Drosophila melanogaster: one gene and its partner. The protein of the gene in region 2 interacts with the protein of the main gene of each other region in a pairwise test. Each region holds a gene or a part of one and is shown on either strand. Other genes may lie near its edges.

Region 1 (3,097 bases), on a different chromosome or scaffold from region 2:
CAAATTATTAAGGATGTTTTGGTAATCCAGACTCTTTTCTTTACAATTAAATTTATTTAAAAACACTTTTTCGATTTTACCAACCTTTAGAGATCAGATTGAAAATGTTGTAAGTGTACAAAAGAATGAGCATATTTTGATTATCCGGACGACTTTCTTCCCGTTACAAGCCAATTTACAAATGCTGAATATGAATATATATATACATATAGTCCGGATCAATATGAGAATGCAGTAGCTTGCTAATAACCTAAGTATATGCTAAGATGTGTAATTTACAAATCTAATTGTTAATGTTACTCGTGTGTATGCAGATTACTACTAACATTCGACTAGACGGCATCTTTTTTTCCTAGCTAGCTTAAATAGAAAACCACGAACGAACATTAATGGCCATTAATTTGCTCACTCTACGAAATTCGTATAAACAGTACTTGAGATATTTTCTACTTGCGCTTAATAAAACAAACAAAACCTAAGCCAGTCGAGATTGTTTGGGTGGGGAGACCGTTTGGCATCCGTCCGACATGATCAGTCTAAATCGAGCAGCGATCAGAGGAGCATGGCGAGATCAGGGCGCAGTTCGAGGTTTCTTATCGGCGGCAGCACTTGCTGTTCGATGCTTCTGGGTCTTATCTGTCTGGTGAGTCGGTGAGTCGGCAGTGGATTAGATAAGGAACTTATTGATTTTCCTCTCGATTGCCAGGCTCTGGCGGACTCATCCCAAGTGAAAGAACGCAGCCCTACCATCTTGGTGAGAAATACAATTCAAGCGGTGGAGAGGCTCTTCAATCAGGTGCTCTACACGACCATCGAAGATGCCCGCCAACGACTACCGGGTCTTCCGGCCAACGAAACCATCGATCGGCAGTACTTCGAGGAGCTCGACCTGGTTGCTGGGAACGAGGACTATTACAGCACTGCATTCTATATCTTCGCCTGGATAAACAGCGACCTCATGTACCATAAGACTCCCGATAAGTTGCTCGTCGAGGTTCTTCCCGGCGAGAAGATCGCCATCCGCAGATTCTTCGCCAAGGTCAAGCCGCATCTTACCAAGTATCTGCGACTCAGTCGACAGGACAGGTCGGAATTGGTTTCCAACGTCACCCAGTTGGCCACCGAAACCAAGGACAGTCTGATCACAACCTTCTTGGAGTTTCCCCAGAACCTGAAGAGCCAACTTCCTGAGCTCCAGCTAATGGACTACACCAAATTGGCTCAGGCTTTGGTGCAGGGGGTGGCCAGTGGTATATGGACGAAGGCTTAAGATTAATAGCTAAATATTTAAACAATATCATAGAATTAGAAAGTGTTTGTAATAAAATGAGAAATGTACTTCAAAGAACAATATTCGGAATCTATTTATACGAGGACTTTATTCCTGAAAAATGCCGTTTAACTTCCGGAAAATTTCCGACTGTCTGATCAACATGTGTAGATATCGAGAACTGATACTTTAAAGCAATAAAGATATTATCGTGACTTGGAACTATATACGACTTTGTAATAACAAAATGCATGGTTTCCACTACCCACTAATTAATATACGAAGGGGCAGCACTCGTTCTTATCACGCTCACCGATTTCTGAAGTCTGATTACAGTCTATACGTTGTCTCACGATCAGTGGGTATTCATTACAGAGGAGGCGTTCTCCCATTTTGTATAAAAATTGTGAATTTAAGAGAGGGAATATAAAAGGAATCAGTTCGATAGAGACTAGATACAGTTTCAAATCATGGCCAGCAGACTAACTTGGACTTTTCTAGTCGCTGTAGCTGCCCTCCAGCTTTCGGTAAGATCCTTAGATTTGCTTATATCCTTTTGGAATCAACAGAAACCTTTAACTTTCAGCTTGCAGCGCCTCTCATTAACAAATGGCAGTTACAATTCGAAGTGTCCAATGAACTCTTTCAAATGGTAACAGACGCCATGGAACAGCTACGACATGTCTTTCAATTGGTCATCGACGAGGCCGAACTCATTTTACCACCAAACTCCAAGGGACACATTCTCAGGGAGCTTAAGGACTTCGTCGCGGCCTTGGACACCCTGGACTTCGATGATTCATTCGAGCTGAACAGACTGGAGGATGCTCTTGAGGAACTGGAAAGCATCATTTCGATTGCAGGCAGCAAAGAATTCGAATCGGAAGCTGACGAGGTTGTCGTTCAGCTATTCATACAGCACGGAGTTGAGGACCTGGAGCAGATCCTGGAAAGAAACTTGGAAACTACTCTGAAAATCGTAGAGCAGAAGGTGGAGAAATACATGAGCACATGGTCCGACAGTCGGTTGGCCAGGAACGCGGCGATGGTCAAGCAGTTTAATGACTTTAAGAACGAAAAGGATGTCTATGAGAAGCTGGACAAGTTAACCAACTCTGATTTCATTTGAATAAACATATCATGTTTCAAGTACATTTAAGTTTAAACCAAATAACTACAGATACATAGTCCGAACGTATATATTATTTCCAGAAACTGCCTTGCAAATATCAAAACCAGTAGTCCAGAGTTCATGTTTTGTATTAGCACGCTCGCCGGAAGCTAAAATTTGATTACATATTGCAGCTGATTTAACAATCAATGAGCATATAATAAATACGCTAGTAAGTGTTTACTACTTAGTGCAGGTATGACGTAAGAAATGTGGAATTCATTTTACAAAGGTATTGAATACCTTAATATACCTTTTTTAGATTTGTAAGCTGTCAGGTTTCAATAGCTTTGAAAGTTTTACTGACTTTCTATTCAATACAATTGTTATTTAGTCTGATAAATAAACCGTGCGGAAAGTAAAATAACTGATTATTTGTAATGCCAAGAATCTTTACATTACACACAGACAAGTCAGTATAATCTCTAGCAGCCTTAACTAGTTGTTTTTGAGAACTCGGAACTTTCATTCATCAGCTTCTCTTAGGAAAGGTGTTAAAAGTTGCGATAAGATGATCCAAATCCATCCCGCGAGTCGAACACATCCCGCTCGATTTGGGGAGGTCCTCTTCCATCCGATGTGTAGCTATAGGATTCGCTCCGGTAAAAGTTGTTAGAAGAGCCCCCGGAACCAAGGGGACCACTTCTACCAGTCGG
Region 2 (4,974 bases):
GCCTGCAGGCTAAGAAAAGGAAGAATTAAACTCTAAACAGTATGCAATCTAATGTACATATACCAACAAGACATACAATTAAAGATAATATAAGATATAGGGGTATTTAAAGGAAAGTAACAACACAGAGCTTCCTTTTCCACCATAATAGTTTCCATTTGACTTCTTTCGAAGAAAACATCTGTAATTAGCTAAAGAAAGGTTGGAAGTGATGATATTCTGACACCATCATCATGATTCCCTCGACTGACTCCCCCGGATTCCCATTCTTTGAGTAGCGCTCATAATCGCTGTGGGTATTTAGTTCTCCACTCCCCTGGGGATGCACTTCATAGGACCCTAGGGTTTCCTGTGGCCAAGTAGCCCATCTCGAGTTACCTGCTGCACCTGAGCGGTTCTTCAAAGGCTCTTACAGGGGCGGAAATCGAAGGAGAACGGAGATATGGAGATGGAGGAGATGGAGGTGGAGGAGGAGGAGGAACAAGAAACGTGGATGGGGAGAAGGGAGCGATGACCCAAAATGGGGGAGGTCAAGGCAGACGATTGCTTCTAATGGCTTTATAAGTGCCCAGGCTCTGAAGACTTCGACGCTGGGCGAGATTCGAACGAATCTCACCGCAATTATCGTTCCCTCGATTCCATTGAAACTTTCGGATTAGGCGACAAAGTCGAAAAACGTGCAAATATTTTCAGCACACTTTGAGTGCTTTTCTTCCTCTTCTTCAGCTTTGTTTTTTATTGTTTTTTTTTTTGTTTAGCTAACTTGTTTTGGTATGATTGGTATGCGCACGCACACCGCCGCGATTTTACACCTATTTCTATAGAGCTCTCCGCATCTAAAATTCTCTCGGCTGCACCTACAAGACGGAGTTGGATTTTCTACAGTGCCACTTCATTAAGACAAACTGCTGCTTATTTGAAAGAAATTAAAACACACATATGCTGCGATTGCTTTCGGCCCTTTAAGAGGCGGATTATAACTGAGATTTCAGTTAGCTAGTTGTATTTCATAAATAGTGAAGTAACCAACATAAAATTGAAAATTAGATTACTTGGAAGAATGGGAAGTGTTGTAATCCGCAGTTTGACTGTATTTGCAATGCAAACTGTAAAATTGTGTACTCCTTCCACTTCACCGCCCCTTTCTTCTTTTTCTGCGGCCTCTTCTGCCTGGGCTCTTCTTCGTTTTTTCGCTTGGCTAAGCGCTCGCGTAGAAAGTTTGAACGTTAACGGCCGTTGCCCATCCTCCACAGGCCCCTCTCGATCAACACCGCACCACTCCCTCCCTTCTTCCCTACCCACCTCCTTCCAATGCCAGTTGTTCGTGTATTTGCTTTCGACCTTTCTTCTTCTCCGCCTTGCCCTTTTTCTTTTTCTTTCGGCCAAGCACAAAACGAGCGACTGTTACTGTTACCTCCGTTTGTTGCTGTTGCCTTCGTGGTTGCCTCTCCGCTCCTCTCCTCCCTTTTCACCTACTCCTCCTCCTGCTTCTTTTTTCTCGCCCTCCTACTCCGCACAGTGGGCCGCGCACACCTGTATGCAGTGCACAAATGTCAGCAAGTGCATCTTAATTACATATCTTGTTTATCTAAGCATCGCTATAGATAAGATTCTCGGAAGAGGACGGATTTTAAAAGATATGCAAAGATGTTTGTAGAACTAAATGTCTCCTACTATTATTAGTAAAATATAATACACATTATTCTCTGGACATAGTCGAACGGGCTTAATTCCTTGGAAATTATGGAGATATTCGTTCCGGTTTTAATATTAATTAAGTATGAAAACTTTAATCCTTATCGTATTTATTTACTATGCTTCCAATGGCATTTGTGAAATGAAGCCACTTATTTTCAAAATATATTTAATAATATAATATAGTACTCTGCTATACTTTCCAGAAGACGAAGTCCTAAACTCTAGCAAGTTATTTTCAACAACTAATATCTATTGTATAAGTAGGGCCTAAATTAGGATATTTTCAATTTCCCTACCCATTTTAAATATTTCCATTGTATCGTACCATTATATCGTTGTCTTGCACGACTTTGAACCCGATCTTTTCCGATTTCTTAAGCTATTGCCTAATCCCAGCCTGGATCTACTTTAGCCACATCTCTGGGACCAATGTGCAGAGCTCGTAAGCGGAGCTAAAGCTCCGTCTTAAGCGGGAGAGTCTTCGGCTTTGGTTGTAACTCTGTCTCTGGCTGTGGCTTCTGCCACGCAGTCGCAGATGCACCGTATATTTCGGTGGCGCTGGCTCTGGCCTTAGCTGATTATGTATTCCAAGCGGATGGGCCTTGGGTTAATTCGATTCGTAGCCCCCACCTTCTCTGGCACTGAAGACTAAAGACACTGTAGACTGCAGATTGAAGACTCACCTGTATCTGGTTGCGCCAGACATCGTAGTGCAGCCAATTATCCGTGGAGAAGGCGATCGCCAGCAGGGCGGTGGCGATGATCGCGCAGATCGTCGCTATAGATAGGGTTACGGCCGAGCAGGGCATGCTGGTGTTTTATTCCGGATCTGTTTCGAAATCTCAGCTATTTTGGGGCTATGATACGGGATTTATCCAACGAAAATCCCCGAGAAGAAAACAACAACTACAGTTGCTATTATTTTTCTTTCGTTTCGTGATCTCTAGCGTCTTCGACGTCTTCTTCTTCCGCAGCTAGATTCTGCCGCTTCTTCTTGAACTGCTACTGCTGCTGCACAAATACACAGTTAAAAGAGCAGCAACCAGTTTGGAAGGCACAGCAAAAAAAAAGCCAACGTTCGTTAAAAAAAATAATAATTTTAGCAACGGGCCAGCACTAACACACTGACACGGGCTCCACTGCACACGCTCACAACACTACACACACACACACGCACGCCGGCGAAGAATCTGAGCTGGAGAATTGAGAACGGAGAACTGAGAATCTGAATCTGGGCAGCAAAGAGACGGAGAACTGATAGCCAAGACGTTGTGATCGCAACAACGTTCGCCAGCGGACTGAAAATCGTCGGCGACTGAGCCAGACTTCAGGTAATACCAAATACCCATATACCATACCCATACCCATACCCATAGTCTCAAGTCGCAGTCGGCGTCTCAGTCGGCGTTTCATTTGAGCGCTTTGCAATGCAACCGGACTGAGGGGGGAGGAGAGTTAGGAGCAGGAGGCAAGGAGACGGTGCCTCTTCTACCTGCTGGATAAAGCAAAAACAAGAAAGGAGAGACTGTTTCGGCAAACGAACCATGGAATACCCTCACAGAATGCTTATATCTCTGCCAATTTGAGGCGAACTTGATATGATCTTTCATAAGCTCATTATACATTTATGTACGAAGTTTCAGATTTTCATATTCGATAACGTAAGATTTGTGTTAATTGTGACTTTATGTTAACGCATCTACAAAACCCAACACTGGATAATCCAGATAACAAAACGCGATGATAGACAAGGCAAATCATGATATCCCGTAAACACATATGCCCAGTTGAGATTTGCAGAAATAACGTTAGATATATAAGAGCTAGTAACCTTTTGTTAGGGTATACGAAAGGCAAACAACAACAAAGCAGCAGCCTGTTGATCTTTTCGTATGTTTGTTTGGTATTTGGTATGCGGTGCTGCCTGTGCAATGGAGTCCCAGTCCCACTGGGCAGGAAGGTAGGACGCGAGGCACACAGCCACATGGGCGTAGGCGGTGGGCTGGAACTCGAAGGGGGCGTTCGAAGGGGTGTGCTGGTGCTCCCATATCTCGACCGTATCGCAGTTATGCCACGCCAGATCGTAACTCTGTCAAAACTGAGCCACATATTTTATTAGCAAGATATTGGAATCAGGCTCCTAAAAACAAATACCCATTACACTGAAGGATCATAATTGGAGTTTCTGCGGAATGTGAATATCATTATTTGACACGTCAATATCATTGCCTGCACACCCATTTAAACGGTTTTGTTTTTGAGCCTGAATAAACATGCATGAATTTGCCTATATCTAAAATGGTTCATTTGAAAATCGACTTGTAAGAACAATGCGTCCAGCTGATAGAGAGTCATTAACTTCTGGGGCGAGAATTTTTTGTATATTCAAATGCCTAATCTGAAATTCCGCCCACATGAGTGCGATTAGTTCGGCCTTTTCCACCGCCCGCTGCTAATCAGGGCGCAGCCGATTTCTCGCAGTGTGCAATTGACCCAAAGATGCTGCGACTGCGCAGGTAAAAAATATATACACACAGACATCTCGTGTACGGACATATCCATATAGAGATAGGTGTTTGTGTTTGTGCGGCATTGGCATCTCGCTGCGTCTACTTGCTGTTGTTGTTGTTGATTTTCATCGGCTTTAATGCCTTTGTCTATTTTGGGTTTCTGTTTATGGCGTGGGTTTTTCTCAATTGCATTTTTGGGCGCGCTCTCGACTGCAGCAGCAAAAGCACAGTGGCGGGCAGAGAGATAGCAGCGTTTAAGAAATTAAGAAATATGCATATAGAAAATCGCCTAAAAACTGAAAGAATTTAATACCCTAAAGAGGTGCTGTTTGATTCATTTTTAAATGTATAAATTGGATACGCTTTGCTATTATTTTGTCCTATTTTTCATCTTTAACGTGATACACATTGATTATATTAGTTCTAGACCATGAAATTCCCAAATTTTAAAGACGTACGCTTTAAATGTACCATGTTAATTAGTTATTCTCTGGCAAAATGTAACAAAATTGGAAACTACCATATTGACGGGCATTGTAAGTGTCGTATGTGTGAGTGTGGAAATACCAGAATTACCTAAATAACAACAAGAATAGCCGTGCACTTATAAAGCAATGTTTGTAATCGGATCGCATTGGCATGTTGGCCAGTTGAGTTCAGTTCTCAATTGCTGGCCAAAAGTTTTTGGCCCCTCGAGTGTCTGACTGTCAGTCAGTCTGTCTCTTTCTGCGCCCCATTACCCCTCTCCCTCTCTCTCTCACACTGC

Evidence for each region. Proteins that work in one complex are often made in the same cells at the same time.
Region 1: the proteins of CG6398 (region 2) and OS9 interact in a two-hybrid assay, tested with the Drosophila melanogaster proteins (one large-scale study listed by BioGRID).

What each region holds. Positions count from the first base shown.
Region 1 is NT_033779.5:19,965,120-19,968,216, reverse strand, and holds OS9 (Olfactory-specific 9), read left to right. Parts: upstream 1-1,706; 5' UTR 1,707-1,740; coding exon 1,741-1,797; intron 1,798-1,856; coding exon 1,857-2,399; 3' UTR 2,400-2,553; downstream 2,554-3,097. Other genes in the region: Hf (helical factor), read left to right, coding at 563-643, 707-1,270; CG10680 (uncharacterized protein), read right to left, coding at 2,936-3,097.
Region 2 is NC_004354.4:17,828,854-17,833,827, reverse strand, and holds the start of CG6398 (uncharacterized protein), read right to left. Parts: upstream 3,001-4,974; 5' UTR 2,508-3,000; coding exon 2,382-2,507; intron 1-2,381.